Pelodiscus sinensis: one gene and its partner. The protein of the gene in region 2 interacts with the protein of the main gene of each other region in a pairwise test. Links are inferred from orthologs where the notes say so. Each region holds a gene or a part of one and is shown on either strand. Other genes may lie near its edges.

Region 1 (3,600 bases), on a different chromosome or scaffold from region 2:
GCACTGACACTCTGACCCCAGAACCCAGAGTGGGGGCTCCTTGCCCACTCTGTGGGTGTTCAGAGCCTCCTTTCCCACCCCAGACCCCAGACAACCCCCCTTCCCCCACCCGCCGCCTGTTTGAATTCTGCCTAACTCTTGGCCTCACCAAGACCTAGTGGCGAGGAGTTCCGCTGGTTACTGCTGCCAGGGCTGATGGAGACTCGTCTGGGTGCTATTTAGCACCTGCTGCCTTGTGGCTCCCTTTCTGCTTCTTGCATTGCAGCACAGGAGGAAGAGCAGTGCCCCGCCCCAGGCACCCCTCTGGGAGTCTGTCTGTCCCAGCCCCAGGCACCTCTGTCCTCCAGGACGGACAGCCCTGAGCTAGCAGCATCTCAAGACCCCCTAGCGCACGGAGCCCTGAGCCGCCGGGCTGGGTCCACTGGCATGGACCCCCCTCCTTGCCCCGTGTGACCCCGCTGGGGTCCGCCAGCAGTGAACCCTGCTCCCTGCCCGCCCAGCACCGCCCCCCGTCTCCCGCCCCCTGACCTCCACTCTCCTCCGGCTCCTTGACCATGATGTGGGCGTCCAGGTGCTGCAGCTGGCAGTGCAGCTGGTGCAGTTTGCGGTCGGAGCCGCGCAGCAGGCTCTCCACGCTGGCCAGGTTGCGACGGTCGGTGGTGGCCCGGCGCAGGTTCTCCGCCCCCTCCTTAATCTTCAGCTCCTTGCGGATCTCGCGCCGGATCCGCTCCTTCTCCTCGTCCAGCCGCTGCTGCACGCTGCTGGCCGCCAGGTCGGGGCTGGGCTCCAAGGCCAGCTGCTCCAGCACCGACCAGACCTGCTCGCCCTGCAGGGGAGAGAGCAGGTGAGGGGGCCCTGCAGCGCCCAGCCCTGCCCGCCTCCTCCGCTGCCCCCCTCCGGCCTCCTCCTCAGCTGCCCCCTCGTGCCCTCCTCCTCGGCTACCCCCTGCTGGCCTCCTCCCTGCCACCCACATCCTCAGAGGCCTCCTGCCAGCCCCCTTGGTGCTCCCCAATAGTCCCTCTCTGCCACCCCCCTCTATAGCTGCCCCCCAACAGCCCCTTGACAGCCACCTTTACAACTGCCCCTACAGCTCCTTCCCTGGCCCCCCACCTGCCTCTCCTGAACCATGCCTCTGCTGGCGCACTGACCCCTCACTTCCCCCCATGCGGATGGACTCCCCCATCCTAGCCCCCTGCCCTGGCTGGGAAAGGGGCTAGGGGTTCCCGGACAGGGCTCAGCCGGAGGAGCGAACGTGATGCAGCCACCACATCAAGGGAATGCAGCTGGCACACCGGAAGGGCGCAAGGGGCTGGCCCTCTGTGCCCAGCAGGCAGGGCTGGTAGTTCGGGGCTGATCTGGGTGCATCTGTCCCTGGTCAGACCCTCATGGGCTGCCGAGCTCACGGAGGGCAGGGAGCTTGGGGCTGACTGGCTCCTCTACAGACAGGCTGCACTCCCAGCGCTCAGCCCCGAAGTGCCCCAGCTGGGGCATGCTTGGCCACTCATCCTAGAGCCCAGCGGGCACGAGATCCAGCCACAGCAGCCCTGGGCCTCGGCTCCCCCATCCGGGAACTGGGAGACCAACCCGGGTCTCTTCCCCAGGGAGGAGGAGGGGGAATCCCAGTCGGGTTGGCAGTGCCTGGCCCAATGGGAGCAGGGCGATGCCTGTCGGGCTCGGAGCAGCCTCTGGCACCATGACGGGGCACTGGGGCGGGGTGATCCCAACGGGGGCCCTACTGAATGAGGACAGCACCAGCATCCCCACACTCCGGGCTGGGCCAGGATCTCTGGGGAGGAGTCCGGGGGCTGGAAATCTGCCTCCAGGATGTTCCCAGGGAGCCCCATGAGCTCCCGGCTCCCCTTGCAGGCCTGGCAGATTTCCACCGCCCGCACCCCCGGGACGAGGCGCCTTGGTTAACGTCACCCCGGGGAGCCGCCCTGGCTCGGGGGAGGGGGGCTGGCTAGAAGATGTCAGGGGGGCCTAGATGGGAGTTGAACCGTCCCTTCCTCTCTGCCCCTCCCCCTCGGCAGCTTGCAGGCAGCTGGCGCAGCAGCAGCCATGGCGGGGAAGGAAACGTACTCTGCCCCCTGCATGGTGCACCAGCCCCACCCCGGTTCTCAGGCCCGCCCAGCGCCCTGCCATGCAGAGCTCTAGGACCAGCTGATTCCCCTGCGCCCCCCAGTCTCTGCAGGCAGCACCAGCCCTCCCTGTGAGTCCCCCCCCAACCCCACCGGCCCTTTGCCATGGCTGGGCCACCGTCCCTGTCTCCACTGTGCCAGAGCAGCGGGCTGGGGCAATTCACATCCCCGTGGGGCCCCCACCCAGCCAGGTACCTCCAGATCTTGCTCAGAGCAGGAGTCTGACTCCGACATCCTGGCCCGGGGGGATCCAGGCCAGGCCAGGCCCCGTCCGTCCTTGGGTCTGAGCTGGGCGACACCCCCCTCCTGTTGTTCGGAGTCTAGCCCCCCCCACCATATCACAAAACCACTTCCCCTTCCTGCACCTCACAGCACTGCCTCCCGCCACCCGAGCGCTGCTGGACCCGCCCCCGCCCGGCCTGGGCCCAAGGGGTTAACGGGAGTGAGAGCCCCCCAGAGCCAGGCTGAGCTTGGGACTGACTCGCACATGCCCCCAGGGAGACCCCCTGTGCTCCAATCTCCAGGGACCATACACCCCCACCCCCCAGAAGCTTCCCAGACCATCTCTTGAGTCATCCCAAACCACACGCCCTGGCGCTGCTGCCCCCAAATGCTGCACACTGGGCCCCCTGACAGGGGCCAAGCTCCCCCTAAAAACACCCCAGGGCAGAGCCTCCAGGCCCCAAAACTGGGACGTTCATACATGGATGTCTGCTGAACAGCCCCTGCGCCCCACCCCAGAGGTGGCTGCATCTCAGCACCAGGTGAGGGATCCCCAGAGGCTGGTGGGGGGCACTCTCTCTTCACCCTGATCAACTCAGTACTCGAGACTCACCAGCCCTGAGCTGCCCCGGGGCAGGCAGCTTTCTCCTGCCATTGACCCGGAGCAGGGCCGGCGCCCGCACGGTGTGGGAGGGGCAGCATCCTCCCCTGTGCGACCACCCTGCTCCCTCCTGCTACCAGAGTTCTGGGGGGTGCTGAGTGTGGGGAGGGGTCAGATTGGGTAACGTGCTGCCCAGTCCCCACCCCGGAGCTTCTGACAGGCCCCAGTAAACAAGGGGCGGGCTCAGCAATGGGCACTGAGCTGGAAGGCAGGACACCCGGGTTCCATTCCCAGAGCCGCTGGGTGACCTGAGCCCCTCCCACCACTCCCAGCAGCACAGCGCCCCCTGGTGTCCCTCTGGGGAACCCCCCTTGAGCTGCCCAACACACCCCTGCAGCACAGCGCCCCCTGGTGTCCCTCTGGGGAACCCCCCTTGAGCTGCCCAACACACCCCTGCAGCACAGCGCCCCCTGGGGTCCCTCTGGGAACCCCCCTTGAGCTGCCCAACCCCCCCTGCAGCACAGCACCCCCTGGTGTCCCTCTGGGGAACCCCTCTTGAGCTGCCCACCCCACCCCTGCAGCACAGCGCCCCCTGGTGTCCCTCTGGGGAACCCCTCTTGAGCTGCCCACCCCACCCCT
Region 2 (3,941 bases):
ATGTGTTTCCCTTCCCCCTCCCTCAGCCAAAAGCAACCGGTCCCCCACCCCGTGGTCAGCACCACCCCATGCTGAGCCTGGTCTCCAAACCAAGAGCCAGCCCGGCTCACACAGGCTGCCTCCTTTCTGCCCCCAGGCCAGCTGAGGCTCACACAACTGGGAAGCCAACTGTGGCAGAGGGAGTCAGGGCTGCCTACTCCCAGAGAGAGGGGGTTGGTGAGCATAGGAGCCAACAGAACAGCCCCCTAGTGATTCTTTACCAAACAAAACCTATTAAAACGGCTGATGCATGAAATATACATGATATGAACAGCAGACATGGAGCCTACTCTTACAAATATAGGCATCACCTTTGCATGGTACATAATGCACAAATACCTTGCCGACTTGATTGTTAGGATTTCCGGGACAAACACCGCACATGGCATATAGAAGGCGGGCGGGGGGGATAGACAATTTGCAATGTAACATGTTCCCATCATTGAATCAACTTCAGGAATAGGTAACAAGGAAACGTTCCTCTTTTTAAAGGTAACATTTGGAAAAACAATATTGCAAAAATAAATACTGTAGCAGCATTCAGTTTGCAAACACTTAGTCCGAATAAAAAATGTACTTTACATTTTTAAAATGACAATAGGCATCCCCCAGCGCCAGTGTGTTGGGGGAAGGGCAGTGTGTCATAGGGAGCGGGTTCGCATTCCTCTCCCAGGCGAGTGAGTGGGGAGGGGAAGGTGTCCGTGTCTCTTAGAGGAGAGGGGGGAGATCGGCCCCCGTCAGTGGGCGCGAGGGTCGGGGTCCCGGCCTGTCAGTGCCTGGGGAGGGGGCAGGCGTCTCGGGGGTGGATGCCTGCAGATGGGGGGCGGGGCATGGGGGGTCCCTGGGAGGGCAGGAGTCTCGAAGGGGGCGGTCAGGAGCGTCACGCCCCCCTGTCCTGCCACGGCTCCCGTTATCAGGGCGGCCCGAAGGGGGGCGGGGCTCTCGGCCGCACCTGCCAGGAGCAGCGGGGCTGGGCGGGGAGGCGGCGGCGGCGACGCGGACGTCACTTTCCCCGGCCGCGCGTGGTTACGTGGAGCTGAAGATGGCGGCGCCGGTGGGTCCGCCACGGAGGCTCCTGGCGCTGTAGCGGGGCGGGCCGGTGACGCTCTGTTCTCTGCGCAGGGGCCATGGAGGACGAGGAGCGGCGGAAGAAACTGGAGGCCGGGAAAGCCAAGGTAGGCGCGGGGGCTGTGGCGGCCGGGGGAGGGAGAGGGGCGCGGTGGGGAGTAGGGGCGCTGAGGGGCGGGACGGAGCTGTGGGGGAGGGGAGGGGCCCCTGGGCGAAGCCAGTCTCCCAAGTAGCCTGGAGGGAGCACACCCCGAGGAGCAGGGGTGACTCTTTCACCAGTTTTATTCCCACCTGTATCTAGTGTGTTTCCCTGCTAACGAGCGCGCGGGCAGCCTGGGGGTATTTGCGGGGGCTGGGCTATGTTTGATAGCAGTGGGCTCCAGAGCAGGTTCTCTTTTACTCTCCCTGTGTGATTGGCTTGTGACAGCTGTGAGTGGACAGCGCATGTCTTGCAAGTGCCACAAGTGCCAGCAGTTACACATTGAAAGCCAATGGTATTTCTCCCGAGTGAAACTCTGTACGTGTGTTGGTGTCGTTTGTGAATCTGTATAGCTTCAGTGGTCGGGGTGAAATACTTCTTCAGTTCCCCAAAAAGGTATTTGGGGATGAGGGAAACGAAGTTTACAACATACAGTTAACCTGATGCACAATTTGCTACTTGGGATTTTAAAGCAATGTACAAATTCATGGAAATAACTTTTTTTCATTTTAAGAACATCATGTTGTGTCTAATACTAGAAAATAACATTACAATGCAGTGTGTCTAATGCTTATTTCCCAAATTGTTCCCATAATCAGATGGTGGTGTAGAATGTGCAGGACTCAGGGCAGAGCCTTGGGGATGTGGCGGGAGGTCGTGCAGGAAGGAGTGAGAGAAGGCAATGCAAGAGTGAGGGTTGGGGGTTCAAGAGAGGCTTAGGGCAGGATGGGGCCTCTTATCTTTCACCCTTTCATCACCTCTGGATGCCCATCCCCTTGCCGGGCGGGGGAAGTATCTTTTCTCTGCCTCTCCTTTCTTCTCCCTTTGATTGTTTCCTGTGGCTTTGTTTAGTTCTGTCCTTTCCTTGACTTCACTTGAAGGGTTAATGTAACCTACACCACCTTCTAGTCCTCTATGGGTGAAAACTAAAGGAGCCCTTCTGTAGGTGCTTACTTAAAGACTTGATATCTTACATCCCTTAAACATTCCTCTGAATTTTACATGCTGTAGCTATATAAATAGTTGTAAACTAAGTGCTGAGGTGTGTTAGAGGATTTTTAGTTGCTTTTCTTGTTACTTATGACTGTCTTCAGACATGAAGGTTGCAGTGTAATTGTATAGTAACCTTTTTGCTATATATTTGCTCATCAGCCTTCAGTACTGTAGGTGAATTACACTGTTTAAATGCTCTGAACACACAACTACTTTAAGTGATAAATGTCTAAAGTTTCATAGATGCTTCTGTGAGTGTGAAGTTCTGTAAAACTCTTTATCTTACAATAATGAAACTACCTCTCAGAACTGGCTTACACTGGGCATTTAGGTCGAATTTAGCTGCATAAGGCTGATTTTTTTTTAAACAGTGAGTTCATACTACCAAGCCCATTCCATCAACTTTAAGGGATGCTAAAGTCTATTTTGATACTCCTGCTTTTCATGAGGAATAACGCTAAATTCAACCTTGCACGATCAACTTTACGGTACAGTAGACACAGAGTTGCAAAAATCAATGTTCTTGGCTTCTGGTAGACATCCCACAGTGCCTCACTGTGACCACACTGGCCAGAACTTGTGGCTAGACTGCTTTCCAGGTGAACAGGAGAATCCCCAGGAAACTTTGAATTTATTTCCTGTGTGGACAGCATGGCGAGCACATCTCAGAGCAGGCAGTATACCTGGCCATGACTTCCATGAGTTCTAGTTCCAGGAGCTCCTATTCCCAGGGGCTCAGACGAGCACCAGCATGAAGTGTGAAGGAGATCTTGGACCTCATCAGCATGTAGGAAGAGGAATCTGTTCTCATGAAGCTGTAAACCAGTAAACGAAATGCAGATATATATGTGAGGATCACAAAGTCCAATGAGGAGAAAGTATACACCAGGGATGCCCAGCAGTGTCGTGTGAAAATAAAGGAGTTGAAGCAATCCTACCAAAAAGACAAAGGAGGCAAATGGATAGTCTGGAGCATTGCTGTAAACATGCCACTTCTACAAGCTGTTGCATTTGATCATAAGTCTAGCTTCCCAAGCCAGACTGTGGAATCCTCCCAAGACACTAATCAGGGTGGCATTGTGGAGGAGGAGGGTCAGCAGGCAAGTGGCAATAGCCAAGAACTTTTTATAACCTTGGAGACAATCCCTTCCTCTCATGGTGCCTCAGTTGGGTACTGATCCCAGGAAAGGCACTTCTGGTGAGTTCACAATTTTTTCCTTCCTACAAGTAGATTCATGCAGTTGAGTGTGATGTGTAGGCATAGAGTGCGCCACGCAATGCAAGAGCCTGGAACAGAGCCCGGAACAGCTTGTTAATGTGTCTTGGAGACAGCACAATGGAATCCTCCTTGCAAATCTCCATGAAACTCTCATAGAAGTACTCTTTGATCCTTCTCACAAGGTTTCTGGGGAGGCCTGCCTTATTCAATACTACACGGTGGGCACCTTTACACACCAAGCCAGCAGTAAATTGTCTGGCATTGCCAGCACAAAGAGTGGGGAAATATGTTACTGGAGGAGATGCGAGTGGAGTGTCAGGAAAGGAGAGCATGCAGGGAACTATAACTGAAGCACCAGAAGACTGCTTGTCCTCCCTGACATCTGTAATGGACTGCATCTAGGCTTTCCAAGATGCGTACATG

Evidence for each region. The genes of interacting proteins can lie anywhere in the genome.
Region 1: the proteins of AKAP9 (region 2) and PKN1 interact in a two-hybrid assay, tested with the Homo sapiens proteins (2 studies listed by BioGRID). The link is inferred for Pelodiscus sinensis from reciprocal best matches to the Homo sapiens genes AKAP9 and PKN1.

What each region holds. Positions count from the first base shown.
Region 1 is NC_134729.1:10,472,202-10,475,801, reverse strand, and holds the start of PKN1 (serine/threonine-protein kinase N1), read right to left. Parts: upstream 2,490-3,600; 5' UTR 2,373-2,489; coding exon 2,334-2,372; intron 827-2,333; coding exon 529-826; intron 1-528. UniProt on the Homo sapiens protein: PKC-related serine/threonine-protein kinase involved in various processes such as regulation of the intermediate filaments of the actin cytoskeleton, cell migration, tumor cell invasion and transcription regulation.
Region 2 is NC_134712.1:214,228,841-214,232,781, reverse strand, and holds the start of AKAP9 (A-kinase anchor protein 9), read left to right. Parts: upstream 1-990; 5' UTR 991-1,166; coding exon 1,167-1,214; intron 1,215-1,257; exon of another isoform or gene 1,258-3,941. UniProt on the Homo sapiens protein: Scaffolding protein that assembles several protein kinases and phosphatases on the centrosome and Golgi apparatus. Required to maintain the integrity of the Golgi apparatus. Required for microtubule nucleation at the cis-side of the Golgi apparatus.